4 linked regions of the Stegostoma tigrinum genome follow. The protein of the gene in region 1 interacts with the protein of each later gene in a pairwise test. Links are inferred from orthologs where the notes say so. Each region holds a gene or a part of one and is shown in the gene's direction. Other genes may lie near its edges.

Region 1 (7,384 bases):
ATTAAACATTTAAACATGCTACCTAAAACAAGTTGCTTAATTTCAGTTAGCAATTGAAGATCTTAAATTGGCAGATGAGGCTTGATTTAGTTGAAGAAGGGGAAAAAAAATGTTGATTGGTGCATATTTATTGGAAAAGTGGGTGATCGGCACAGAAGCCCAATGGTACAGGATAATGTTGTGGAACTGTGGGTTTAAATACAGCCATGGCAGCCGGTAGCATTTTAATTTAGGTAGGGATGAACATAAAGGTGCCGTACAAACAATTGACTGGATTTGATGTGATAATGGGAACTGCAGATGCTGGAGAATCCAAGATAATAACATGTGAGGCTGGATGAACACAGCAGGCCCAGCAACATCTCAGGAGCACAAAAGCTGACGTTTCGGGCCTGGATCCTTCGTCAGAGAGGGGGATGGGGTGAGGGTTCTGGAATAAATAGGGAGAGAGGGGGAGGCAGACCGAAGATGGAGAGAAAAGAAGATAGGTGGAGAGGAGAGTATAGGTGGGGAGGTAGGGAGGGGATAGGTCAGTCCAGGGAAGACGGACTGGTCAAGGAGGTGGGATGAGGTTAGTAGGTAGGAGATGGAGGTGCGGCTTGGGGTGGGAGGAAGGGATGGGTGAGAGGAAGAACAGGTTAGGGAGGCAGAGACAGGTTGGACTTCTCTTTCGATTCCTCCCACTTCCTACAGACAAAGGGGGTGGCCATGGGCACTTCCAATTCCCTGGCCCCCAACACCTCATTTTCACCATGGACGTCCAGTCCCTATACACCTGTATTCCACATGCAGATGGCCTCAAGGCCCTCCGCTTCATCCTGTCCCGCAGGCCCGACCAGTCCCCCTCCACCGACACCCTCATCTGTCTAGCCGAACTCGTCCTCACCCTCAACAACTTCTCTTTCGATTCCTCCCACTTCCTACAGACAAAGGGGGTGGCCATGGGCACCCGCATGGGCCCCAGCTATGCCTGCCTCTTTGTAGGTTACGTGGAACAGTCGCTCTTCCGCACCTACACAGGTCCCAAACCCCACCTCTTCCTCCGTTACATTGATGACTGTATCGGCACCGGCTCTTGCTCCCCAGAGGAGCTTGAACAGTTCATCCACTTCACCAACACCTTCCACCCCAACCTTCAGTTTACCTGGGCCATCTCCAGCACATCCCTCACCTTCCTGGACCTCTCAGTCTCCATCTCAGGCAACCAGCTTGTAACTCATGTCCATTTCAAGCCCACCAAATCCCACAGCTACCTAGAATACACCTCCTCCCACCCACCCTCCTGCAAAAATTCCATCCCCTATTCCCAATTCCTCCGCCTCCACCGCATCTGCTCCCAGGATGAGGCATTCCACTCCCGCACATCCCAGATGTCCAAGTACTTCAAAGACCGCAACTTTCCCCCCACAGTGGCCGAGAATGCCCTTGACCACGTCTCCCGCATTTCCCACAACACATCCCTCACACCCCGCCCCCGCCACAGCCGCCCAAAGAGGATCCCCCTCGTTCTCACACACCACCCCACCAACCTCCGGATACAACACATCATCCTCCGACACTTCCGCCATCTACAATCCGACCCTACCATCCAAGACATTTTTCCATCCCCACCCTTGTCTGCTTTCTGGAGAGACCACTCTCTCCGTGACTCCCTTGTTCGCTCCACAGTGCCCTCCAACCCCACCACACCCGGCACCTTTCCCTGCAGCCGCAGGAAATGCTACACTTGCCCCCACATCTCCTCCCTCACCCCTATCCTAGGCCCCAAGATGACTTTCCGTATTAAGCAGAGGTTCACCTGCACATCTGCCAATGTGGTATACTGTATCCATTGTACCCGGTGTGGCTTCGTCTACATTGGGGAAACCAAGCGGAGGCTTGGGGACCGCTTTGCAGAATACCTCGCTCAGTTTGCAATAAACAACGGCACCTCCCAGTCGCAAACCATTTCAACCCCCCCTCCCATTCTTTAGAAGACATGTCTATCATGGGCCTCCTGCAGTGCCACAATGATGCAACCCGAAGGTTGCAGGAACAGCAACTCATATTCCGCTTGGGAACCCTGCAGCCCAAAGGTATCAATGTGGACTTCACCAGCTTCAAAATCTCCCCTTCCCCCACCGCATCCCAAAACCAGCCCAGTTCGTCCCCTCCCCCCACTGCACCACACAACCAGCCCAGCTCATCCCCTCCACCCACTGCATCCCAAAACCAGCCCAGCCTGTCTCTGCCTCCCAAACCTGTTCTTCCTCTCACCCATCCCTTCCTCCCACCCCAAGCCGCACCTCCATCTCCTACCTACTAACCTCATCCCACCTCCTTGACTTGTCTGTCTTCCCTGGACTGACCTTTCCCCTCCCTACCTTCCCACCTATACTCTCCTGTCCACCTATCTTCTTTTCTCTCTATCTTCAATCCACCTCCCCCTCTCTCCCTATTTATTCCAGTTCCCTCTCCCCATCCCCCTCTCTGATGAAGCGTCTAGGCCCGAAACGTCAGCTTTTGTGCTCCTGGGATGCTGCTTGGCCTGCTGTGTTCATCCAGCTTCACACTTTATTATCTCAAGTTTAATTGGCTGGGATTTGGCAATTAGCACAACTCAAAAATTCTAGAGTAAAAAAACCTGTACGAATTTAACATGAATTCCACTGGGTGTATTGTGTAACAAAGTTAAGTGGAAATGTGTTGATTTTCACGTTCATACTTTTGCACTGATTTAATGTTTTCTATGGCAAACAGTGGTGGCGTGTTGTACTAGTAGTTTGTTTTTTTTTTAAAAAGGCATGATTTGCAAATGAAAGAAAAGCAATCCCTGGACACCCATACGTGATGACTTGACAGCAATGAATTTGTAATGTACTGACAGGCTCGTTCACATTTTTCACAACACTGGGGCATCCAAAGCCCTTTGTAACTTCCGGGGTAGTTTTTAACTGTAATTAATGTTGAAACTCCGTAGGTTATTCGTTCATTATTATTGCATCAGAAGTTGCTTGCTAACTTCCCCTTGCGTCAGTATCTGAACACGTACACTTCCAGCAATTCCCCAACGATCAGGATTGGAGTTCCCCCTTCCCCGCTCAGTTGCTATTCATGTGAAATGAATTGGACACAGTCCAAGTCTCCGCTTTGAAAGTTTAAACAGACTTGTTTTGGTCTGTCTCTTAGCATTAAAAAAAATGATTTCTCTTGTTTTGTCCCTGTGTGAGGATTAAGTTAGTGAATTGTAGCATTTTTCATTGCCTTGTGTCAGTGAATGAACAAATTGCATATGCATCACTCCAGAGATCAGGTACTAAAACATCACCAGCACGTGTCACTCAAGTTTGGAGGAAAGTGTATATGATTTCGCAAGCCCTCTTGAGATATCTTCATATTGTGTGAGTGAGTGCTGGAAAGGGTCATTGTGCAGAGTACGTACAATTAGGGGGCCTTTCCTGCATTATCTTGGCCTGGCCCTGGACTGTGAAGTGGCAATGCACTCGCGACTTTCTGTGACCCATCTGCATTCCAGCCCGAGAGAGTAGAAAGGATGATCCCTCAAAGAAAGCAATTTCTTCTCGAGCTGTTGGGGAGTTGACATGCAACTGTGCAGGTCGTCACAAAAAATTATATAGTTAAGCCTGAGAAGGTGGTGCTGTGACAGTAGTACTGTCAATGAGCTAGCAATCCAGAACCACAACACTAACGTTTGGCTTCATGTGGTGCATGCTATGACATGTACAGGCTGCAATGGGATCATGTTCTTTAATCCGTTCTCAAGTTGACTTGTACTCCAGTCTGAACGTGATTGTAGGACAATATGAAATAGCTTTCTTTTAAGTACAGGAAATATTTGTATGTCAGATGTTTAAAATTACACCTTAGTATGGGATCATGTTCATAAGTTGGATGTTTGCAAATTGGGGGGGCCCCAGGATATCAACAGGTTAATTACAAATCTGGTTGAGGAGGTGGTGGTACAGTGGTAATGTCACTGGGCCAATCATCCACAACCTCCTGGTGATCTAAGAGCAGAAGTTCAAATCACACCAGGGTGAATGCTGTTAAAGGGGAGGGACGGCAGTTGTGCCACAACGGTCCCGTGGACCCAGGTCCAAATCCCAGAGGTATGTTTGTTTGTCAACCCACGGGAACAGGATGATCTGAAAGAACATCTACACTAGAGGGCGCATGAGCTTCAGAAGGTTTGAAGTCAGTGGGCGGGGACAGGTGCGTGGATAGGGGCGGAGCAATTTGGGGAAGGGGCGGAGATAGCTGGGAAGGGGCGGGGTCAAGGGCTGGGGCGCGGTCGACTGGAAGGTGGGACTGACGGGTGGGGCGTGGCGGACGGGGAAATCTCGCGATATTCGTCTGCTTTGCTTAATGTTATTACCGGCGGTGCCGCGCGGCTTCTCTTCAGTTCGTCCTCAGTGCAGGACAACGAGAGCGAGCGACCCGGTTACAGTCAAGGTGGCCCTCGGCGTAGGACAACAGCGGGAGAGACCGAGCTATTTACAGTCCAGTTCGTCCTCAGTGTAGGACAACAGCGGACGGGACTGAGACTATTACAATCTAGCCTGGCTCAGTCGCACACCGCACCGATAGCCGAGGCATAAGAAGTTGCTGGAAAAGCTCGAGCAAGTCTGGCAGCATCTGTGAAGAAAAGAAATCCGAATTAACGTTTCGGGTCCGCCGACCCTTCCTCAAAACCGCTATCCGTAGCATTAATAACTGGTAAGGCACAGACATCTGTCGGTGTTTTCTTCCAAATGGGATTTGTTGGCTTCCTGCCTATCCGCGGCGACTAGGCCCTGTTATCCCGGTTACTCCGGCTGTGCTGCTGCCTGCTCCACAACAGGGACAAGGAGAGGGAGAGGTTCCCTTTTGCCTGGGGGATGGGATGGGAGGGGAGGAGAGGCGATAACCTTTAAACCAGCTTTAGCCAAGCAGTAGATTTATGGGCTCGGACTTCACGGGGTCTCCGAGGTGGGCTCCTGTGTCGTGCTTCATGTTCTCTTGTTTATGAAGCTGAAATGTTCCTCAGTTTTTTTCCAAACAAATGATCAGCTTGTTGATTCTCTTCCGCTTTCCGTCCTTTCACGTATACGGGAACTGTGGCTCTGTCAGGAATCATGGGCCCAACTGTTTAAAAATTGAGAAATGTTGGGGTTTTTTTCCGGGTTTTTTTGCCCTACATGGAATAGATCAAATTCTTTCAGAGGCGGATAAAGGTCATGTAAAATGTTAGGACCGCTCAGCTGATTAGGTTGCATTTGTAACGGTGGAATACAGGTGAAGAGTCATACGCCTGAAATGTGGACTTGGCTCCATTCTCCACAGGTGCTACTGATTTGAGTCTTTTCCAATGCTTTTCTGATTCCTCTGTAGTTGATGTGCTACTTATTGTAAAACTCACCTACTTTGTGTTTTAAATGAAGTGTCCTTTTAGGAAAAAAGGATATATATTTGCCAAACTTGTACCTGTTTATGTTGAGTACTCTAATGTCAAAATGTGCTAATCTTTAAAGTGCATAACTACCTGCCATACTTGTATTCTTTAGATGAATTTACAGGAGTCTGATATTCTATTTTGTATTCTGTTCACAATGCAGGGATTAAATAAACTCTACCTGAAAGTGTATACCTGCAACTATGAACTAGTTTATGGAGAAATACATTAATTTCTTGCTTAGATGTGTGATATCTATGTGTGAGAGCATAGATAGGTTATATGATTTTTAAAAGAATTTGAGGGTGAACAACACAATAATGCAAGCTTTGTCTTGTAAAGAAAATGCTTTGACTGCAAAGCAGATATTTTCAATGAACACTAATTTCAATCCCTAACATTAATTTCTGTCAGTGGCTTTGCACATTTTTTAGCTCAATTTTACAGCTCTTTTGTGGATAATTCACAATTTCAGTTGTGAACTGATGTTAGCACTTCCAAGCTATTTTCAGTTTTGAAAACATAGAAATTTTAATATGCCCAATGTCTCATTCTAGTTCATTGGTTAAAATAAGTGATATTACTGTGTCAAAATGCAGCTACTGTGAATGTTGCTCTTTAATAACACCGTTTACTTCCCTCTGACCTATTGTCACAGTTTTGAGAGCTATGAATAATAGACTTGCTCATCATGTTGCATCATAACATCATCAATCTGCAGTAAGATACAGTAGACTGGTCCTTTGTGACTCTGGCAGTTCCACAAGCTAATTGAAGGAGGAAATATATTGCAGAAAGTTATAATTATCCCTACACTTGTAATTTTGCATTTGACTGTACTATGTTTTTGAAATGGTGCGAGAAAGATACTGTAGGTGGGGTCTGAGCTTTGTGCTGTTTATGTGCACATCCAACTTGGATGCCATTAGACAATCTAAATAGATACAGTATACTGTTTCCTCCTTCACATTTGCCAGAAGTCTGGCAACAGAAAGTTTCAACATCCTGTTATGAGCCTATATTTCTAATATTTGGATTTTATTTTTGAATCGACTCAGATTTCTTTTTAAATGTTGAAGGCTCCCATTAGATAAACATTCTAAAGATTTGAATTCAACAATAGTCCAGTAAATCAAGATGTTAGAGCTTAACTGTTGTGACTAACTTAGAACAACGTGCAATTGATACAAATTCTGAAAAAAAAATTCTCAATGTAGCCTAAACAATGGTAGGATATTACCTTATTGGAGGTCTTTCAGGTCTCAAGTTCCTGGGAGTAGCTTATTTACTGTAGTATTCTCTACAAAAGTTGACTTTGTTTTCACCCCTGTTATCACTTTCAACCTGAGGGATCATTTGAGACGGAGCTTGTCTGACTGAGCTATAACTGAATCTTGCTTTAGAGATTACCGCTGACAGAAACATTAAACAGTTAGTAATCAGGCTTGGGGAGTGGGGGAGGGGGGTGGTAAATATCTAGAAAATGTGAGATTGTGGAAATTCTAAGTGGAGAAGTTTTAAAAAGTGGTGTTTTTGTTTGATCTGTCATTGGAATCTCTTGTTTTTAGAATCCCTAGGATCCAAGGAATTTCAAGAGTTTGAGTTAAAAATTGAATGGGCTTGAGATTTTCGCAACTGCCAGTTTTAAGAAAAAAACTCTGGAATATTTCCTAGTAAAATAGAATTTGAGCTCATTTACTGTAAATCAGTGGCCTTGGAAATTAAAAGACTGTTTAGTGCAGCTGGCGACTGGTACGGCTCCATGAAATCCTCATTTAAACAGGAGTTTAGCTCATTCAATTATCTGACGCCAGAGTGTCCGTAATTTATAAGAAATATTGAGAGATTGATCTGACATTGGTAAAACTAGGAGTTGTCACTTTATTTTCTTGTCACAAAGGTTCCAGTTACACTCAGGTTATTTTTACAGCAGGGTGAGAGGATAAAAGCTTG
Region 2 (6,842 bases), on another chromosome or scaffold:
ACATTAAGACCTTCAGGTGATGTCACAAAAGGCAGCATCTCGATGAGAAACTAGAGGAAGGTTGTCAAACAAATCATGAACACTTGGAAGCGAACACATCCTGAGTGAGACACAGCCAAAGCACATGGGGATTTCTGCGAATTTGGAGTCGAAATTCAGTGCAGAGGTTAAGTGGTGCTTTTTGCCTTTTCTTCTGTGGTTTGTAGTTTGTAAGGACTTTATTTTCTAGTAATGAAGAACAGGGAATATAGGCTCTGAAGTAATTGATATTAGTTGATATTAAGCATTTGAACCTAAAGGCTTAATTTGAAAGGGGTCAGTCATGGCAGTGGAGCTCAAAGCCACACTGTGCTGTTCCAGTTTCCAGGATCAGCACATGTGCAGGAAATGCCTCCAGCTGCGGCTCCTGCAAGTCCCTTTGTGCTGTTCTACAAGGCCTAGAGTATCATGGACAGCACATATAGAATGGTGGTCACATCACAGGCAGGAAGGGAATGGGTTACCACAAGGCAGAGAAAGAAGGCAATGTAGGAGTCTCCTGTGGCTACTGCCATGCAAAACAGACTTAACACTTTGGATACTGATGACAGGAATGGCCTCACAGGGGAAAGCAGCGAAGGCCAAATTTGTCGCACCATGATTGACTCAGCTGCATAAGGGATAATTAAAAAGTGTGGGAATGCAATTCAAATGTAAGGGGAATAAACAGGTGTTTCTGTGGCCACAAACCAGGATAGTATGTTGCTTTGCTCCTGCCAGAACAAGGAAATCTCAGAGGAGCTAAAGGCCATTCTGGAGGGCTAGGTAAACAGCCAGTAGTAATGGCACACATTGGTACAAATGACATAGGTTATAAAAAAATGAGGTCCTAAAAAGCAGAACATACAGAGCTAGGAAATAAGTTTAAAAGTAGGACCACAAAGGTAGTAACCTTAGGATTAAAATTAGGTTTTCAGATCATAGGGTCTTGGGGCTGGTTCTGGGGAAGGTACAATAGTACAAACTGAATGGGTTACTTCTGGGCAGGGTGTCCCAGGGCAACATTGAGTTGAGTGGCTAGGATGGCTTTAAATGAACACAGAACATTGAACATTACAGCACAGTACAGGCCCTTCGGCCCTCAATGTTGTGCCGACCTGTCATACCGATCTCAAGCCCATCTAACCTACACTATTCCATGTACGTCCATATGCTTATCCAATGACGACTTAAAATGTACCTAAAGTCGGTGAATCTATTACTGTTGCAGGCAAAGCGTTCCATTCCCTTACTACTCTGAGTAAAGAAACTACCTCTGACATCTGTCCTATATCTTTCACCCCTCAATTTAAAGCTATGCCCCCTCGTGCTCGCCGTCACCATCCTAGGAAAAAGCCTCTCCCTATCCATCCTATCTAACCCTCTGATTATTTTATATGTTTCAATTAAATGGAAACTTGTGTAAGTTGTCAGAGGAAGCGGAATCAATGACAAGAACAAAACACAGGAAGGGGAAACAAGAAAAGTGATTGACTAACAGAGGAAGCAAAGGCCGTGCTCAAACTGGACAAGTAATAGTAAAAACACAAGCCTCAACACTTTGTACCTTCATCCACAGAGCATACACAATCAAGTGAACAAATTAATTGCACAAGATAAAAACAAATATAATATAGTCAGGATTATGGAGACATAGCTGCCAGGAACAGGAACTGAATAACAACTGAGAGAGAATTGTCCTGGGAGTATTCATCATTGACCAAGGACCCCAGGAACCTCCTGCTGATGACCACATAACAACGTCCCTCAGCTGATGAATCAGTGCCCCTCCACGGCGAACAACACTTGCACGAAGCACTGCAGGTAGCAAGGGTGCAAAATGTACTCTGAGTGGGGAATTTCAATGTCCACCGTCAAAAGTGGCTCAGCAGCAGTACTACTGATCACGCTGGTCAGGTCCTAAAGGACATAGCTGTTAGACTGGGTCTATGCCTGGTATTTGAGGGAATTAACAACAGGGGAAAACTTACTTGACCTCATCCTCACCAATCTGTTGGCTGCAGATGCATCTGCCCGTGAAATTATTCGTAAGAGTGACCACCTCACGGTCCTTGTGGAGATGAACTCCCACGTTCACTTTGAGAACAACCTCCACTGTGTTGTGTGGCACTATCACTGTGCTAAATGGAACTGACTTCAAACAGGTCTAGCAACTCAAGACTGTGCATCCATGAGGTCCCATTTGCCAGTTTTTGTCCCCTATCCCCCAAACCCTTCCTATTCATGTATCCATTTTAAAAGATGCCTTTTAAAATGCTTCAAATCATACCACCCTCCACCACTTCCTCTGGCAGCTCATTCCATACATGCACCACCCTCTGTGTGAAGAAGTTGCCCCTTAGGTCCCTTTTATATCTTTCCCCTCTCACCCTAAACTTATGCCCTCTAGTTTTGGACTGTCCTACCTCGGAGAAATAAACATTTCCTATTTACCCTATCAATGCCCCTCGTGGTCTTATAAACCTCTATGAGGTCACTCCTCAGCCTCCAATACTCCAGGGAAAATAGCCTCAGCCTATTATACCTCTCCACATAGCTCAACCCCTTCAACTTCAGCAACATCCTTGTAAATCTTCAAAATGTCAGAAGAACTGTTCCAAATCTGGGCATGCGGTAATTTACTAGCTAGTATCTAATAAACAGCAGCCATTGCATTCAATGAAAACTGAAAGAAATGAAGATGCTCTAAATCAGAAACAAAAACAGAAGTTGTTTGAAAAGGTCAGCAGGTCTGATGGCATCTGTGAAGAGAAATCAGAGTTAACGTGGCCAAGCAGCATCTTAGGAGCAGGAAAGCTGATGTTTCAGGCCTAGACCCTTCATCAGAAATGGCCTTTTCTGATGAAGGGTCTAGGCCCGAAACGTCAGCCTTCCTGCTCCTCTGATGCTGCTTGGCCTGCTGTGTTCATCCAGCTCTACACCTTGTTATCTCGGATTCTCCAGCACCTGCAGTTCCCATTATCTCAGAGTTAACATTTTTGAGTCCAGTGACCCTTCCTCAGAACTTCCATCTTCACAAGATGCTGCAAGACTGCTGAGCTTTTCCAGCAACTTCTGTTTTTGTTCCAGCCAGTATATTCAGGCTGGTTAACACAGGGGTGACAATCCCAGAACTGGATGACTCACCTTTTTCTTGTAAGAATTTGTGAAGTTTTCTTAGCAGCTCGAAGGAGACTGTGCAGGGGGAATGGGCTTTGCCGAGGCAGGATTTGAGTTCAGAATGTAGATCCTCAGGGATAGAATGACCCTCTTTCAGGACACGGTCGAGTTGCTGCTTGAAGCAATCCCTGACCTTCAGAACACACGCCATTGTCCCCAACCTGAGCAAGGAGATAACCTGTAAATAACGACTTACACACCGACTTTAAAAAGCTCGACAATTATTTGAAAAGAAAATTCAATGATAAGTAATTACCTCCTAGGAATTTAACGATTTCATTATAGTCCTTGAGCCACAGAAACTATTCCAAATAGTTAAATATAATGAGTCTTTTATGAGGATTTGAAGAATGAGGACATTATTTTGCACAATCATTTATAAACAGCGATGAAGCTTGCTAATGGGAGTATTATTATCATAATACTCGCTTATTATACAATATAGTCACTTTTGCCGCCCAGACTGAATGTCTTGAGCATTAAATTTTACAATTTTTTTCAGATAATGAATAAAAAAACACCCCCCCCCCCGCATTATTTGACACAAGCTACTGTTGCGGCTCTGACCTTGAATCGGCGGCGCAGGCTTCAAGCCGCGCTAGGCCCCGTCTCCATGGCAACCTGCCAGACCGCAGCCGCCATCTTTGTTCGGGGCAGAGTCCCGGGATCGGGGCAAGAGACAGAGAGAGGCTGCCCGCCGCCTGCCGTCCCCGGGGGAGACAGAGAGATAGGGGCCGCCCGCCGCCGAGGGGTCTTGGCCTGCAGTAACGCCGTAAGAAAGCGGACTCGGGTATTGCCCATCTCCGAGGCCGGTTCGAGTTGTATGTGCTGACCGTCGGGCCTGCAGGATCGATGGCGGGCCCGGCTCTGAGCCGCTGCCTCTCGGCCTTGGCCACAAACCCCGCTCTCCGGCTTCGGGCCCTGACCGTCTGCTCGGCCTGCGGTGTGGGCCAGCGCCAGCAGCACGCTCGGCTCCTGTCGTCCAGGTAGGAAGGAGGCCAGGGACACAGGCCCCGGGCCTGGGGTTGGGGATCTTCTCTGTTTTCAGAATCCGCGGTTCCTACACCTCTGGGACATTCCCTGACAGATTTATCTGCTGCACCAACCAGTAACGTGTTAACAGCTGGAACTTTAGTGAAGGGCATAATCAATATTGGCAGGTGACACAAAAATTGGAAAAAGCAGGCGCAAGTAGTTGGATTGGGGAGATAAGTGACAGATTCAGTTTAATGTAAAGAGTTTAATGTATATTCAATGCTTCTGTGAGTTTGTAGATGGTTTACTTTGGTTGTGAGAATATGGAGAGCCATCATAAGCTAAAGAAAACAATTCTAAAGAGAATCAGGAGCAGAGTGACCTGGGGTATAAAATCATTGAAGGTGACAGGACATGTCGAGAAAGTGGGGAATAAAGCACCTAGAATCTTGCACCCAGCAACAGGTCACAGCAAGCTGTGCGTGGGATCCGGGGAGAGAGCAGAGGGTGGTGGATTCGGAGTGCAGAGGTGTAGGGGCATGAGGCAAGGCTTGAACCCAGTGAGGAGATGACGGGTCTAGGCCCAAAATGTCAGCTTTTGTGCTCCTATGATGTGGCTTGGCCTGCTGTGTTCATCCAGCTCCACACTTTGTTAGCTCGGATTCCCCAGCGTCTGCAGTTCCCATTATCTCTGGGGATAAGGATGGATCTGGACACTGCCTTGGGCAGGACATGGGAGAGATTGAGTGGGCTTGTACTCATTGGAATTTAGAAGAATGAGAGGTGACCTTATTGAAACATGCCACACAACTGCCAGGTAATGACCTGCTCCAGTACGAGAGATCTAACCACTGTCCCTTGACATTCAACTGTGTTGCAATCACTGAATTCACCCACTGTCAACATCCTGGGGGTTACCAGTGACCAGAAACTGAACTGGGCTACCCACATAAATGCAGTGGCTACAAGAGCTGGTCAGAGGCTAGGACTACCTGTGGTGAGTAATTCATCTCCTGACTCTCCAAAGCCTGTGTACCATTTACAAGGCACAAATCAAGCATGTGGTGTAATACTCCCCACTTGCTATTCCAAAAACCCTCAAGAAGCTTGACACCATTCAGGATAAAGCAGTCCACCTAACTGGCACTACATCCACAAATGGCCACACTCTCCACCGCTGACACTCAGTAGCAGCAGTGTTTACTTATCTACAACATGCACTGCGAAATAGCACCTTCCAAATCCAAGACCACTTCCATCTCAAAGGACAAGGGTAGCAGACATAGGAACATTACCATCTGCAAGTTCCCCTCCAAGCTGCTCGCCATACTGACTTGGAAATTTATCGTTGTACCTTCACTGTTGCTGGATCAAGATCCTGGAACTTACTCGCTAATGGTATTGTTTGTGAGCCTACATCCCAGGCATTGCACAGGTTTAAGAGGACAGATCTGTACTACCGTCTCTGGGGCAATTAGGGATGGGAAATAAATGCTAGCCCAGCCAGCACCTGTCATAGCCCATGAACAAATTTCCCAGCGTCTGACCTGCTGTTGTAGCACCAGTATTTATAAGGCTAGTCCAATTCAATTTCTGGTCAACAATAATGTCTACGATGTTGATGGTGGGGAGAGTGCCATTGAACGTCAGAAGGTGATGGTTAGATCTTCGATTGTTAAAGATGGTCATTACCTGTCATTTAAATAGCACAAATGTCACTTGCCTTTGAATGGCTGTATACTCCATTAAATTTTCTTATTTTCTGGGAGTGGCAGTATCATGTGCTGTGCAAAAAGGTGGCTCAAGCAACTAGTACTTTGGTGACTGATTGGGGATTGCAGATTGTCAGCGCTGTCATTGAGGTCTGTTCTGAAGTCCAGCTTCGTTTGTCTTCACAGGAATCGTCCTGAAGGCAAAGTTTTGGAGCCAGTTGGAGTGTTTGAGGCACTCAAGCAACAAGGAAAATATGAAACAGGGCAGGTAAGAATTTGAGTTGAACTTTAAAATTACTGTGGTTCTAGGGGTGGGAGTGGGAGACAGACCCACTCCAGCATCCTGGGGTTGGCACGGCAGCAATAGGCCCTCCTGGGGGTGGTAAGTGGCAACAGAACCACACAAAGACCCAGGCTCTTGGATGTGAGTCCAACCCTCTGTCTGCTCCACTTTGTGGAATTGGGTAAAGGGCGCAGACATTGGCTGCTTGTGTGGATTTATACTGAATGAACCTGCCCGTTGCTTGATGTTTTGGAGAATGTGAGGGGATTTAATTCAAACAAAGCTGATTCTGGGACTATTTGACAGCTTGAATATTGGAATGGGTTGAGTTCACAGTCTCAGGTTATGAAGTTCAGCTATTTCAGACTAAGGTGAAAAATGTCTTGATTCTGAGAGTTGAGTCTTTGGAATTCTTTTTGCGAGGAGTGCTGTAAACATGCAGTTAGAGTTTATTCAAGATTGACACTGAGATACTTGGAGGAAGTGATGGTGTAATGGTCACGTTACTGGACTAGTCATTTACAATCCAGAACTAGTGTTCTGGGGACATGGGTTTGAATCCCAGCAAGACTGTTGGTGAAAATTAAATTCAATTAAAAAAAATTTGAAATTACAAAAGCTTTTCTGATGGCAACCATGTAACCATTGCTGATTGTCATAAATATCCATCTGGT
Region 3 (7,445 bases), on another chromosome or scaffold:
ACCATGAAAACTGTTGCAGATTGCCAGGACTACCCAACTATTTTACTAATGTCTTTTCGAGAAGTATATGCAGGTCATGATTTCACAGCAATGTGGTTGATTCCAAACTACCCTCTGGACAATTAATGGTGGTCTATCGCATGATACCGACATCCCATGAACGAATAAAAAGCAACTCGTGCGTACAGATTTGGCAACTTCACCTTATATTTTTGTTGCATTGAAGAACATCTTGAAGGTGAAACTGTGAAGCTTTTGCAGTGAATGAAAAGTTGAAGATGAAGCATGTAAGGGTTTGGAAAAGCACACGATGTTGCCGGGTATGAAAGGTTTGAGTTATAGAGAAAGGCTGGGTAGGCTGGGACTTTTGTCGCTGGAGTGTGGGAGGTTGAGAGGAGGCCTTATAAAATAACAAGGGTATGGATACAGTTGATGGTAGCTGTCTTTTTCCTAGGATGGGGGAACTTCAAGACGAGGGGCACATTTTTAAGGTAAGAGGAGAGAGATTTGAGAAAGAAATGAGGTGCAATTTTTTTTACACAGACTACGGTTTGCACATGGAATGCAGTTCCTGAGGAAGTGGTGAATGTGGGTACAATTACAAAGTTTGAAAGACATTTGGATAAGTACATGAATAGGAAAGGTTTGGAGTGATGTAGGCCAGGAGCAGTCTTTTGGTTCTCGATCCTCCACCAATGGGAACAGCTCCTCCCTGTCAGGAAGGGAACCAATTCATGGAGGATGGAAGCTGACGAGGTGACAGAGAGAGAATCGGAATACCTCTGCCTGGAGATCTGAAGAAAATGTGGAAAAGTTTCAGTAGCAGTTGGGCTGAAGTAGGGATTGAGGTGAGCCATGTCAGGGGGGTGGTAGTGCCAGGTGTTTGTCAATGGAGGGAATGTTGCATTGTTAGACTTTGCTTTCAGAATGGCTTCAAGTTTTGTCTACATAACTGAAGGAACTACTGCTTGGGATGATTGAGTGAAGGGTTTTGAGAAGTTTTGATTACTAAGGCGTTGTGTAGGAATTTTTTTTCTATTCTTTTCTGGAATGTGGGCATCACCAGCTGGGTCAGCATTTCTTCCCCATCCCTAGTTGCCCCTTGAGAAGGTGGTGGTGATCTGCCTTCTTGAATCGCTGTAGTCCTTCTCTGTAGGTTGACCCAAAATGCCATTAGGGACAGAATTCCAGGATTTTGGCACAGCATCAGTGAAGGAACGGTGATATATTTCCAAATCAGGATGGTGAGTGGCTTGGAGGGAAACTTGGAGGTGGTGGTGTTCTCATGTATCTGATGCCCTTGTCCTTCTAGATGGAAGTGGTCGTGGGTTTGGAAGGTGCTATCTGAGGATCTTTGGTGAGTTTCTGCAGTGCATCTTGGATATAGTACACACTGCTGCTACTGAGTGTCGGTGGTGGAGGGAATGGGTGCTTGTGGATGTGGTGCCAATCCAGTGGGCTGCTTTGTCCTAGACTTCAGTTTATTGAAAGCAGTCATATATTACAGGCTGTTAGGACATCTACGACATAAAAGGTACAAAATAGGGCTAAGGGTTGTCCATTTTAACCCTCCATCCTGCTCTGCTGTTCAATAAAATCATGGTGGACATAGCTGAGGCCTTAACTTCACTTCCTATGTGCTCTCCATTACCTTGGCTCGTTGTAGATCAAAAAAATCTATCTAACATAGATGTACATTTAATAGTCTATGGCTCTCGGGAGTAGAGAATTCCAGAGATTAATGAACCTTGGAGAGAAAATTTCCTTTCTCATTATGGTCTTAAATGGGAGACCCCTTTCACAGAGTCAGAAGTGTTACGGTCTGGAAGGAAACCATTCAGCCCATTGTGCCTACGCAAGCTCATTAAATGAACATCATTACCTCATGCCAATTTCCTGCTTTTTCCCCTGTACTCTTGCATGTTAATATTGTACAAATAATTATTCAATGCCCCCTTGAATGCCTCAATTAGAAGATAGAACATTACAACACAGGAACCAGCCCTTTGTCCCATAAATTTGTGCCGAATGTGTCACCTAAAATAAATTAATCCCTTCTGCCTGCCCTTGGTCCATTTCCCTCCATTTCTTGCATATTCATGTGTTTATCTAAAAATCCCTTAAACATCCCTATCATATCTGCCTCTACCAATCCTGGCAGAGCATTCCAGGCTCCTACCACTCTCTGTGTAAAAAAAACTTGCCCCTCCCATCTCCTTTGAACTTGTCTCCTCTCACCCTGCCCCCCTGCATTAGACATTTCAACTTTGCGAGAAAGATTCTAACTGTGAACCTTATCTATCCATCTCGTAATTTTATAAACTTCTATCAGTTCTCCCGTCAGCCTCTGCTGCTGCAGAGAAAGTTACCTGAGTTCTTTCTAGCCTCTTGTTAGATCATAGCCTCTAATCCAAGTAGCGTCCTGGTAAACCTCTCCTGCACCCTGTCCAAAGCCCCCACGTCTTTCCTGTAATGTGGCAATCAGAATTGAACACAATACTCTAACCAAGGCTTAGCCAAATTTTTATAAAGCTGTAACAATTGAACCTGCCTCCACCACATTTCCAGGTGTCCTCCACCAACTACTCATTGACTGAAAATATGTTCCTTTGCCTCACCCTTGCTTCTTTTAGATTAGATTCCCTACGGCGTGGAAACAGGCCCTTCGGCCCAACAAGCCAACACTGCCCCATGCAACATCCCACCCAGACCCATCCCCCTATAACCCACACACCCCTGAACACTATGGGCAATTTAGCATGGCCGATCCACCTAGCCTGCACATCTTTTGGACTGTGGGAGGAAACCGGAGCACCCGGAGGAAACCCACGCAGACATGGGGAGAATGTGCAAACTCCACACAGACAGTCACCCGAGGCTGGAATCGAACCTGGGTCCCTGGCGCTGTGAGGCTGCAGTGCTAACCACTGAGCCACCCTGCTGCCCAGTTCACTTAGAAAAACATAGGAACAGGAGTCGGCCATTCAGCCCCTAGACCCTCCTCGGCCACTCACATAGATCATGGCTGATCTGTGGCCTAACTCCATTTACTTGCCTTTGGCATATATCCCTTAAATACCTTTGCTTCACAAAAAATTTACCTATCTCAGGCTTAAAATTAACAATTGATCCAGCCTCCAATATTTGTGGAAGGGAGTTCCAAATATTTGCGACACTTTCTTGTAGAAGTACTTCCCAGTATCTTTCCTAAAAGGTCTGACCCTAATTTTCAGACTAATTCCTTATTTCTAGAATCTTCAGCGAGTGGAAATAGCTTGTTTTTACCTACCCAGTCTTTTCAAGCTATAGAGTCATGGAAATGGATTCTTTAGTCTAATTCGCCCGCATTGACCAGACATATCAACTTGACCTAGTTCCATTTGACAGCATTTGGCCCGCGCCCCTCTAACCCCTTCCTATTCATGTACCCATCTAGATGCCTTTTAAATATTACAAATGTACCCACCTCCACCACGACCTTTTGGCAGCTCGCTCCACACATGCACCACCCTCTGTGTGAAAAAGGTACTTCTCAGGTCCCTTTTAAATCCTTCCCCTGTCACTTTTAACGTATGCCCTCTGGCATTGGACTCCCCCACACTCGGATAAAGACCTCGGCTCAGAGATAATGGGAACTGCGGATGCTGGAGAATCCAAGATAATAAAGTGTGAAGCTGGATGAACACAGCAGGCCAAGCAGCATCTCAGGAGCACAAAAGCTGACGTTTTGGGCCTTGACCCTTCATCAGAGCTCTCTGATGAAGAGTTTAGGCCCGAAACGTCAGCTTTTGTGCTCCTGAGATGCTGCTTGGCCTGCTGTGTTCATCCAGCTCTACACTTTATTATTTAAAGACCTTGGCTATTCCCTCATGATTTAATAAACCTCCACAAGCTTACCCCTCATCCTCCGACGTTCCAGGGAAGAATGCCCCAGCCTATTCAGCCTCTCCCTATAGCTGAAGCCCTCCAGTCCTAACAACATCATTTAAAGTTAAGCAGATAGGAACTGTGTTCAATATTTAAAGGGAGTATACTCCATTGTCCCAGATACACTCTTCACAGTAGATGCCAAGAAAAAGTAATGTGGATAATGGAAATCAGAAACAAAAACAGAAAGTGCTGGTAAAGCTCATCAGATCTGGCAGCATCTGTGGAGAGAAATCAGAAGTTACACTTCAAGCCCAATGATCTTCTTCAGAATTTACCTGGGGGCCAGGTAAGAGCTGGGAGGTGCCAAGCCAGCCACCAAAAGCAACTGGAGGGCTGAGGGGCGTGGTCATTGTCTGCCAATCAAGGCGGGGTTGCCGTGCAACCATAGAAGGGCGGCCAATGGGAATGCAGAGGGGGCGGTGTCGATACGGTGGGCGGGTGTTGCGTGGCTGCACCTGTCAATCAGCTGCTGGAAGTCTCAGGTAAATAGTGTGGGAGAGGCAGAGGAGGAGGTTATAGGTGAGCTCAGCAGCTCGGTGTGTATCTCCCTCACACATACACACACTTGACACACTCTCTGTAGTGTTACTGGAGCAAAGAAGTCAGAGCTCTCTCTTTATCAACTCTTCAGAGAAAGGGAGCGAGGGTTAGAGAGAGAGAGAGAATAAAACTGCGTCTGTGGGGGATAAGGATTTTTATCGTTTCCTCGTGAAACCAGGGACTGCCAAGATGTTTAAAAAGAAACCCAAGAATGTAACTCCCCCCAAAACCAAGTAAGTGTTGTCGTATATATTTATACTTGTGCCTTTTTTTAAAAGAAAAGCGCATTTTATTTATGGGTAACTATATGTTCTATGTTTTGCATGCCTTTTGAGGACCTCTCCCATATAATCCAAAAACAATCAATAAGTTTCTTCTTTTTTTCAAAAAACAATCTGTGATCTGCTTGTGGCTTTCTTAATTAAAAGCTGCTTTCAAGTTCAGGAGGGGAGGGTGTGTCAGCTGAGGTAACTCTAAGAAGTCTGATTAAAGCAGGAATGAACAACGTGAAAGGTTCTGATGCTGAGATTTAAACATCTGTCCACATTGTTTTAATCTCCAATATGAACTGTTAAAAGGACTTTGCAATGTATTTGTTTGACATGAATACTTTAGACTATCAATCTGCAGCCCAGTCAGTATACTGTAGATGAAATATTGCTCACACGGACTGATCACACATTGCTTATTTTGAACTTCTATTTTAGTTTATTACACAATTTTCTGACCTGTTTTCATCTGTATTGTGGAATCCCAGTGACTTATTGAGATGGGTGGAGTTTAATCCTCTGCGCAATGCAATTTAATAATCCTCAGTAAAAGTGTTAAAGGTTTTTGATAATAGAATGAAGCCTAGCAAATGCCAAAGCATTTAAACCTCTGACCGTCAGGCTAATTCAGTAATCAGGTCCAGCAACTCCTAATATCTCTGTGACTTCTGACGTTTTGCATAACAAAACCAGCTTCTATACATGGTCTGATGGATGAACTTCAAGCATAATCACAAAATTTAAAAATATTTCCTCCAGGGTAAAGCTGATGTGTTGAATTACCTTCCTAACATGCAGCAATTTTAAAATCCCTACAGTACGGAAGCAGATGAGCCCAAGCCGACTCTTCAAATAGCATTCCGCCCAAACCCACCCCTCTGCCTTATCCCTGTGACTCTGCATTTCCCAAGGCTAGTCCATCTAGCCTGCGTATCCCTGGACACGATGGGCAATTTAGCATGGCCAGTCCATCCTAACCTGCACATCTTTTGACAGTGGGAGCTTTTATCACTCCCAGCAGGAAAATTAGTCTACTTGTCACCAGAAACTTCTTCTGAATGATAACGCACATTTTGACAGAATAATGGTGTCACTGTCCCACTTATGGATTAAATTATCTCAAGTGTGGAAGAGTTTATCTCCTAGGCATGGGGTTAAAGCAACTCATTTGTTCTCTGGATGCACAGATGACATGGGAAACATTATAAATATTTCCAACCATTACAATCAGCCGTTTGGTTCTATAGTATTTGAGTATGGCTGGTAAATAAGACACGTTTGTCAAAGTTTTTTTGTCTCGCACTCATCAGCAGAATAGACAAGAAATGTAAGATAAAGTTGCCATAGTCCTACCTTCCATTAGGGAGAGGGATTAGGTGGTGATTTAACCTGAGGGTCACCACACCTCAGGTGAGGGGAGGAGTTGAGAAGGCCACTCAGCTGGTGCTAGGAATTGAACCCACAATGTTGGCATCACTCTGAATCATGAGCAGCCAACTGAGATAACCAACTCTGACACAATACACGCCTGATGAGCAGCTTTGACGAAATGTGCCTTTTTGTCCAACAATATTATTATCACTGTCTGCCGTGCAAAGTTCTGTATTGGGACACGTTGAATAGCAAATTCTGTAATATCGAGCAAAATGTTTTTGTTTGCAAATTGTATGAAGTGGTTAATTTTTGGGGGAAAACAGCACTGGATAAATTCCAAGGTTGATTTTAAGAGGGAATAACACTAAAAGCTGAATATGTTGACAAATGGTATTAATGTTTAAATTTAATTGCCTTGGGATGCTACTCAGAGCTGTATTGTGAGCTGCTGATGTTGATGTTTTTCAAAGGAGTGCAAAAGAAAGCCAGCCAGCATTGAAACACAATAAGTAGTTTGTGGCTTGTGCAGAGTCCTTGAGAATACTTAAGCTGTGATGGATTGTTAGATGGATTCTTGATCAGTAGGGGAATCAAGGATTGTGGGGAAGGGCAGGAAAATGGGCGTGATGTATGTCAAATCAGCCATGATCCTATTGAATGGCAAAGCAGGTTCAAGGGGCTGAATGGTCTACCTCTGTTGCTATTTCTTTATGGTTTGTTGATTGAAAGTGAGATGGTGGATACTATCTTTTTGGATTTTGAAAAGATAGTTGATGCTGTCTGCTTTTAAAAGACGGATTTTAGTTATAGGTAATTCCTTTAATCATTCACGGGATGAGGGTGTCACTGGCCAGGCAGCATTTATTGCCCGTCCCTAATTGCCCAGAGGGCAGTTAAGAGTCAACCACATTGCTGTGGGTCTGGAGTCACATGTAGGCCAGACCAGGTAAGGATGGCAGATTTCCTTCCCTAAAGGACATCATTGAACCAGATGGGTTTTTCCCAACAATCGGCAGTGGATTCGCGATCATCATTAGAGTCTTAATTCTGGATATTTATCGAATTCAAATTCCACTATCTGCTGTGGCAGGTTCGAACCAGGTCCCCAGAACATTATCTGGGTCTCTGGATTAACGGTCCAGCAACAATACCACTAGGCCATCACCTCCCCCAATTGTATGCTCAATGTTTTACATACCTTTTGAGGACCTCTCCCATCATAATCCAAAACTATCAATAATATTATTTTGTTAGCTTTTCAAAAAAAAAATCTGTGATCTGCTTGCAGCTTTCTTCATTAAAAATTGCTTTCAATCTCAGCAGGGGAGGGCG
Region 4 (7,381 bases), on another chromosome or scaffold:
CTTTGTCCATGACAGGATATTTTCAATTCCTTTCCCTCTCACTACATCTACATGCGGGTCTGAAGTTCATAGCTCAGGGTGGAAGGCCCTGAATTGTGGTTCTCCTTGTTGACCTGGGAGACTTGGACTGTCATCCTCTGACGCCTTTGGGCCTAAGGGCCCCATTCCCCCTCTTCATCTTGTACTGTGGCAGACTTTGGGATTACATGTGGGGGAGATTCAGGGGCCAGGCACCTCTGGAGTCTGCAGAGAAGAAACCTTTGGGGTGCCTTTGTGTCACTCCTCCACCATCTGTGTGCCTGTTTCCCTGAGAGGTAAGGACACCTGGCATACCATCAAGGTCCCTCTTGTTATTAATGCTGGCAAAGATTAAAACAATGAAGTTTAGGTTTGAGCATGTATTTGCAGAGACTGAGCATTCTGCTGGATCTGGCTCTCCAAAGTGCTTACCAAGATTGGCATGGAGGTAGCCAGATGCTCACAAGCTGGAGTCAATGGAGTAGAGAATACTTATGGAATCCTTTATCCGTTGATCTGGCTTACTCACTGTGTCTGACATTGCTGCCTGATTTTCTGTGCAGACAGAGCAAGTCATTTATGGCTTAGAGCAAGTGCACATCTTCTGCCTGGGCCAGAGACCTCTGGTAGTTAACCCTCAATCAGTTGTAGATATGTCTTAGTATTCTGTATAAAACATTGTGCCTCCTGAGTCTAATCTAAATGGAGCACCCACTGAGATGGAAGTCTTTGAACTGGTGGAGCGTGCAGGTGAAGGTCTTGCCAGTGTACCTTCTGAGGTTTGAGCCTCCTCCTCCTCAGAAGTGGAGGTGCAGCTGAGGGATTTTGACATTGGTCACCCTGTGGAACTTCACTGGGCACCCCTACTGCCTTCAAAAGAAAATAGGAAATTAGTTGTTGGGGATAGAGCCACAACTGGTGGAAATGGGAGAACAACACAGCACATTGAAGCTTACTGTGTTTGTTGCCCACTGGTGCCACCCTTCAGGATACCCTACATGAGTCGTTCTGCTTTGTTCTAGCCAAGTCCAGAAGTTCCTCTTCATACCAAATGAGAACCTGATGTCAGCTGAGTTGCAATGTAATTTCTCCTGCGATGAAACAAAGGGTGAAATTGAGTATGATGTAATTAGATGCAACAGCAATTAGCGGTGATTCATGACCAGGAGAAGAGGCAGAAGGCAAGCGAGCTTATGGTTGCAGTGGATGAGGTGGGTAAGGACCTTGAGTAGACATGATGTATATGATGTGTGCCCAGTGGCATTGCTAGCATGAATACAGTTTCTTGCATTGTGAAGCGGAAACATAGAAAACAGAAAATAGGAAAAGGTATAGGCTATTGAGCCCACTGAGCTTCTTATCGGAATGTGAGAATGGCAAAACAATGGTGTGTCTAACTGCCAGGCTGGAAAGAACAGAAAGTCTCAGTGGATTGTGGGGGAGGGGAGAAAGGGCACAGCGTCGGAGAATGCTGCAATGCTCCAGCGAATCACAGCAAAAACTGGAGGAGCAATATCTTACGCAGTTTATAGCCTTTTTGGGCTCAATGTTGAACTCAACACCTTCAGATTGTGAACACATTCCTTCCGTTTCTTTTAGCTTTGCTGGTTATATAAGCTTGCTTTCTCTCCATGGTTGCTGCCTGACCTGCGCTGTGATCTCCAGCATTTTTTTTGTTTTTAGTCTCACCCCACAACCCTTGACGCCAATCTGTAAAAATCTATATCTTAACAATATCCAGTGAATTGACCCCTTTTGTGGTAGAGACTTCTACAAGTTCACCATCCTCTGTGCAACAACATTTCTCCTCAACTCAATCTAAAATGGCCTACCATGTATCCTGATACTGTGATCCCCTGTCTGGAATCCCAGGCCAGGGGACACATCATCCCTGCATCCAGTCTGTCCAAGCCTGTTAGAATTTTATATCTTGTTTTGATCGATCAATTCTCATTCTTCTAAATGTGAGTGAATACAGGCTCAGCAGACCAAATCTCTCCCTATATAGAACATAGAACTTAGAACATTACAGCACAGTACAGGCTCTTTGGCCTTCGATGTTGTGTCGACCTGTCATACCAATCTGAAGCCCATCTAACCTACCCTATTCCATGTACATCCATATGCTTGTCCAATGACGACTTAAATGTACTTAAGTTGGCGAATCTACCACCGTTGCAGGCAAAGCGTTCCATTCCTTTACTACTCTCTGAGTAAAGAAACTACCTCTGACATCTGTCCTGTATCTTTCACCCCTCAATTTAAAGCTATGCCCCCTCATGCTCGCCGTCACCATCCTAGGAAAAAGGCTCTCCCTATCCACCCTATCTAACCCTCTGATTATTTTATATGTCTCAATTAAGCCACCTCTCAACCTTCTTCTCTCCAACGAAAACAGCCTCAAGTCCCTCAGCCTTTCCTCGTAAGACCTTCTTATAATGCGGTAACCAGAACTGTACGCAATACTCCAAGTGCAGCCACACCAGAGTTTTGTACAGCTGCAGCATAACCTCTTGGTTCCGGAACTCGATCCCTCTATTAATAAAAGCTAAAACACTGTATGCCTTCTTAACAGCCCTGTCAACCTGGGTGGCAACTTTCAAGGATCTGTGTACATGGACACCAAGATCTCTCTGCTCATCTACACTACCAAGAATCTTACCGTTAGCCCAGTACTTTGCATTCCAGTTACTCCTACCAAAGTGCATCACCTCACACTTGTCCGCATTAAACTCCATTTGCCACCTCTCAGCCCAGCTCTGCAGCTTATCTATGTCTCTCTGTAACCTACAGCATCCTTCAACACTATCCACAATTCCACCGACCTGGGTGCCGTCTGCAAATTTACTAACCCATCCTTCTACGCCCTCATCCAGGTCATTTATAAAAATGACGAAGAGCAGTGGACCCAACACCGACCCTTGCGGTACACCACTAGTAACTGAACTCTAGGATGAACATTTCCCATCAGCCACCACCCTCTGTCTTCTTTCAGCAAGCCAATTTCTGATCCAAACTGCTATATCTCCCACAATCCCATTCCTCCGCATTTTGTACAATAGCCTACTGTGGGGAACCTTATCGAACACCTTGCTGAAATCCATATACACCATATCAACCGGTTTACTCTCATCTACCTTTTTGGTCACCTTCTCAAAGAACTCAATAAGGTTTGTGAGGCACGACTTACCCTTCACAAAACCGTGCTGACTATCCCTAATCAAATTATTATTTTCTAGATGATTATAAATCCTATCTCTTAAAACTTTTTCCAACACTTTACCAACAACTGAAGTAAGGCACACTGGTCTATAATTACCAGGGTTGTCTCTACTCCCCTTCTTGAACAGGGAAACCACATTTGCTACCCTTCAGTCGTCTGGCACTATCCCTGTAGACAATGACGAGTTAAAGATCAATGCCAAAGGCTTGGCAATCTCCACCCTGGCTTCCCAGAGGATCCTAGGATAAATCCCAGCCAGCCCAGGGGACTTATCTATCTTCACAGTCTGTGGGATTTCTAATACGTCTTCCCTGTGAACCTAAAACGCACCTAGTCTAGTATCCTGCATCTCATTATTGTCCTCGACAACATTGTCATTTTCTAGAGTGAATACTGTCTCAGTTAAGCCACCTCTCAACCTTCTTCTCTCTAATGAAAACATCCTCAAGTCCCTCAGCCCTTCCTCATAAGACCTTCCCTCCATACCAGGCAACATCCTAATAAATCTCCTCTGCACCCTTTCCAAAGCTTCCACATCCTTCTTATCATATAATATAATATAACAAACCTCTTATCCCAGAAGTCAGTCTAGTGAACCTTTGTTTACACTCCCTCCATGGCAAGTAGATCTCTAAGGTAAGAGATCAAAATGGCACACTTTTATTCCAGGTGTGATCACAAAGAAGGCCTGTACATCTATAGCAAGACTTTTCTGTGCCTATACTCTCACCTTTTCGCATAGTACTCCCATTTTCGTGTTTGACACCAGATTTTATGTAGTTGCATTTCTAGGGCTATGAGTTTTAGTTACTGTTGATCTCACTGATATATTTAAAATTCCCATACGATTAAATATCTTTGTTTTATAACTTCTCAATTTGGATAGATACGTCTTCTGGAATACATCTGAGATAGACTGCCTGTAAAGAGAATTTCCCAATCCCACAAATTATTAGTTGCACCTCCGTTATCATGTTGCATGTTCTCAGTTTTCCGAAACAATTCAGCGCATACCCTGTATAGTCCTGACCAAAGCGAAGCAACTAACTGTGGTCTTCCTGGTGTAGGTGGCAGTAGGCTTGGAGTCGTCGGGTTCTGCTTTATTTATGTTACTAACTCTGGAAGTGTTGTGGTTGGCGTTTTCACTGATGCTTTGCAAGCGTGCAAAACAGGGAAATGAACAGAGAATGTATTGTGAAAGTACGCTTGATTTAAATATGTTTAGGTGCAAGTAATTTATTTGACACTTGTTCAGTTCAGTGATTACTGTGTGTGGTAGCATTCTTTGATAATTTCATTTCAGTGTGTTAGCACATTTTACTGCCTTTCCTCCCTGTTGTGTGACTTGTTTCTCCCATTGAAATGTGATGTATTCACTTGCCGATGAAATCAAGGCTTTCTCAAAGGCTTCGCTGAAGAAACAGAGCACCAGAGTAACAACCATTACTGGGAAAAGACTTATTGAAACACTGAGAGACGCTCGAGTGCAGATAGTGGAAGATGCTCAACAAACGGATGGAGTTTGCGGATATGTCGAGGACACCAGCCTCGATCTGAAAATTGGTGTTGTCAAGTCCTGGCTAATGCTCGGTGAGCTAAAATTAACTGACATTCTCTAAAGCTTTTGTTCATTGTAGTCTGACTACTGCATCGTTTTCGCAGGGTATTGAATTCCTGCATTCGTTTTGATTATTGAAGGGGAAAAGTAAACTTCTTGAAGGCTGACATAACAATGTGTAGAGCTGGATAATTTATTATCTCAGATTCTCCAGCATCTGCAGTTCCTACTATCTCTATTCTTGAAGGCTTTTTTATTTTCAAAATAAATGATTAATCACTTTAAATATAATTGCAACAATGCTGAGTTATCTAAGAAAAAAGGATACTGTGAAATCAAATATGCAAATTTATGGGCACTAATCACATAATAGGATGGATGCACATAGCCAGTAGGGTCATTATATACCTGTACAGGTATAATCTATGGTGAGAATGCATTCCAAGGTAATATTTTTTAAGTTGTGCCATTTACTTTTTTTTGTTGTTTGTATAAGTACTATAAGTGAACTGTTCCTGTGATTTTGAGTAAAGATAATAATAAAACAATCATAATATAAATAAGAGGCTAAAGTAACATTTAAAAGGGAGATAGAGATTTTACTTTTCCCTCTGATGGCCTCTGTCTGTGGAATTTCCTTCCCCAGAGAGCAGGGGAGGTTGGATCATTGCATAAATTCTTGGTTGACAAGGGAGTCAAAGGGTATGAGAGTTGACAGGAAAGTGGAGTTGGGGCATCAGCCATGATTACATTTGATGGCTGAGCAGACTGAAGAAACTGAATGGCCCATTTTTGTTAACCCATATGTTTGTATGTATGTGGTAACATGGTGTGGACCTGGAGAAACACAGCAGGCCTCGTAGCATCAGAGGAGCAGGAAAGTTGATGTTTTGGGTCAGGACCCTTCTTCAGAAACTACTATCTCTGTTTGTATACATGCATTTGTTTCTGATTGGGGCAGAGTTGCTCTGGCAGAGCGTTCTACTACTTATTAAATTTTATGATCCTTTCTGTAAGGATTATATTTACCTTTCTTTCAGTATTTTCCCATAGTCTGAGAAATAGGAGGCCATACAATCACAACCTTGTTCTTCCTATCGAGACATAGATTTAAAATGATTTGCTAATTTGTGCAGTTTCTTTCACAAGTAAATGTTATTGTTGTCAAAATTTATCTGATTCATTTTTGTGTACCAGACTTACCTAAGTAACTGCTGATGCAGTATTATATCATGAGACTTAATTTACCGGACAACTTTCAAAAGGTCCTGTAGATTCAGTTCTTTTTTTGGTGTCAGTAGCTGGCATGATTTTTGCATATTTAGTTCAAAGTACATTTAATAATAAAATTTAATTTTTAAAAGATTCTTGGTGACTTGTCATAACGTGAACCAATCATTATAAATTTATAACAATTTACACTTAGAACTGGTGATTAATATTTGCGCCACCCCCCCATAGCTGATTCATCATTTTCAGCAGGACCTACTTTCAGCTTGTGTACAATAATATGGAAATTCTATCCACCACTTCGATAATCCTGTTAGTGTTAAGTATATCGCCACTGTAGAAAATTGTTCTCTCTTCCATCCCCTTTGGAATCATGTTACTGTTTACTGTTAATTTCCAAACGTAAAAGAAAGCTGCATAAGGTATCCTGAATAACTGTATCCTCATTTTGTTCCTATGTGGACATTGACATCTTATTCCTCTCCATAATTCCTCAAAATTAAGAACATTGCTGACTTTTTTGCATTTAATTTTCTTCCAGCATCCCAAGATGTGGCACATGACTATGAAAAATTAAAAGATTATAAGGTAACATGAAAATGCTTCAGATGTTTAGGTAGTGTTTCAGTAAAAGAAAATTTTGGACTGTCAGCAGTGAACTACAGAACAAGACTTATGCATATACTCAGCTAATGGTACTAAAGTGCATTTTTGTAGGAGAGCAGGGACTGCTCCATTTGTAAAACTGGTCGTGAAATCATTACTCAAGTTGGCTTTGAGCAGCTAACATGATTTAGCATTTGTGATGCCTGGGGACAGGTAAGGTTGTCAATTATTTCAGCGGCAGTTGCTGAGTAACTTGGAGGTCTGGGAGAATTTTTTATAAATTGTACCCCCAATCGAAACTTGGAACTACCAAGTTAAATCAATAACATTAGCTCTTCTGAAGGCATTGCCTAGTATAGTAGTGTCACAGAGAACACAATGTCTCCTTGCAATAACTGATCAATGATGAGTGAGGTGATCTTAACTGAATTGCAAGTTCAGCAATGGATCCTGGCACTCTTTGCTTGAGGAATTGAAAAATATTCAGGTTTCTCACTCCTGACTGCTGTTCACGTATGCTGTGAGTACTTCCTTATTTCCTTTATATAAAACAGCAAATGCTGGAAATACTCAATGCATGAAGCAGCATCTGTGGAGAGAAAACTTGATGTGAGTGTCCTAGGTTGATGGCTTTTCATCTCCTTATTTCTCTTATTATTCACACCTCTCAGCCTGCCTCCAACTTTGGCTTCTGAAAAAATATCTGCTCCAGACAACTGCTCCTCCACATGTCAAATAACATTGCT

The links.
Region 2: the proteins of alas1 (region 1) and poldip2 interact in binary tests that used the Homo sapiens proteins (3 or more experiments, as listed by UniProt). The two-hybrid records come from large-scale screens. The link is inferred for Stegostoma tigrinum from reciprocal best matches to the Homo sapiens genes ALAS1 and POLDIP2.
Region 3: the proteins of alas1 (region 1) and ppl interact in binary tests that used the Homo sapiens proteins (3 or more experiments, as listed by UniProt). The two-hybrid records come from large-scale screens. The link is inferred for Stegostoma tigrinum from reciprocal best matches to the Homo sapiens genes ALAS1 and PPL.
Region 4: the proteins of alas1 (region 1) and dusp19a interact in a two-hybrid assay, tested with the Homo sapiens proteins (3 studies listed by BioGRID and IntAct). The two-hybrid records come from large-scale screens. The link is inferred for Stegostoma tigrinum from reciprocal best matches to the Homo sapiens genes ALAS1 and DUSP19.

What each region holds. Positions count from the first base shown.
Region 1 is NC_081364.1:23,022,384-23,029,767, forward strand, and holds the start of alas1 (5-aminolevulinate synthase, nonspecific, mitochondrial), read left to right. Parts: upstream 1-4,373; 5' UTR 4,374-4,716; intron 4,717-7,384.
Region 2 is NC_081380.1:48,677,751-48,684,592, reverse strand, and holds the start of poldip2 (polymerase delta-interacting protein 2), read left to right. Parts: upstream 1-3,841; 5' UTR 3,842-4,050; coding exon 4,051-4,184; exon of another isoform or gene 4,185-4,285; intron 4,286-6,071; coding exon 6,072-6,153; intron 6,154-6,842. Other genes in the region: tmem199 (transmembrane protein 199), read right to left, coding at 3,166-3,349. UniProt on the Homo sapiens protein: Involved in DNA damage tolerance by regulating translesion synthesis (TLS) of templates carrying DNA damage lesions such as 8oxoG and abasic sites.
Region 3 is NC_081376.1:46,890,314-46,897,758, forward strand, and holds the start of ppl (periplakin), read left to right. Parts: upstream 1-4,433; 5' UTR 4,434-4,659; coding exon 4,660-4,703; intron 4,704-7,445. UniProt on the Homo sapiens protein: Component of the cornified envelope of keratinocytes. May link the cornified envelope to desmosomes and intermediate filaments. May act as a localization signal in PKB/AKT-mediated signaling.
Region 4 is NC_081360.1:40,834,819-40,842,199, reverse strand, and holds the start of dusp19a (dual specificity protein phosphatase 19a), read left to right. Parts: upstream 1-4,361; 5' UTR 4,362-4,608; coding exon 4,609-4,831; intron 4,832-6,570; coding exon 6,571-6,617; intron 6,618-7,381.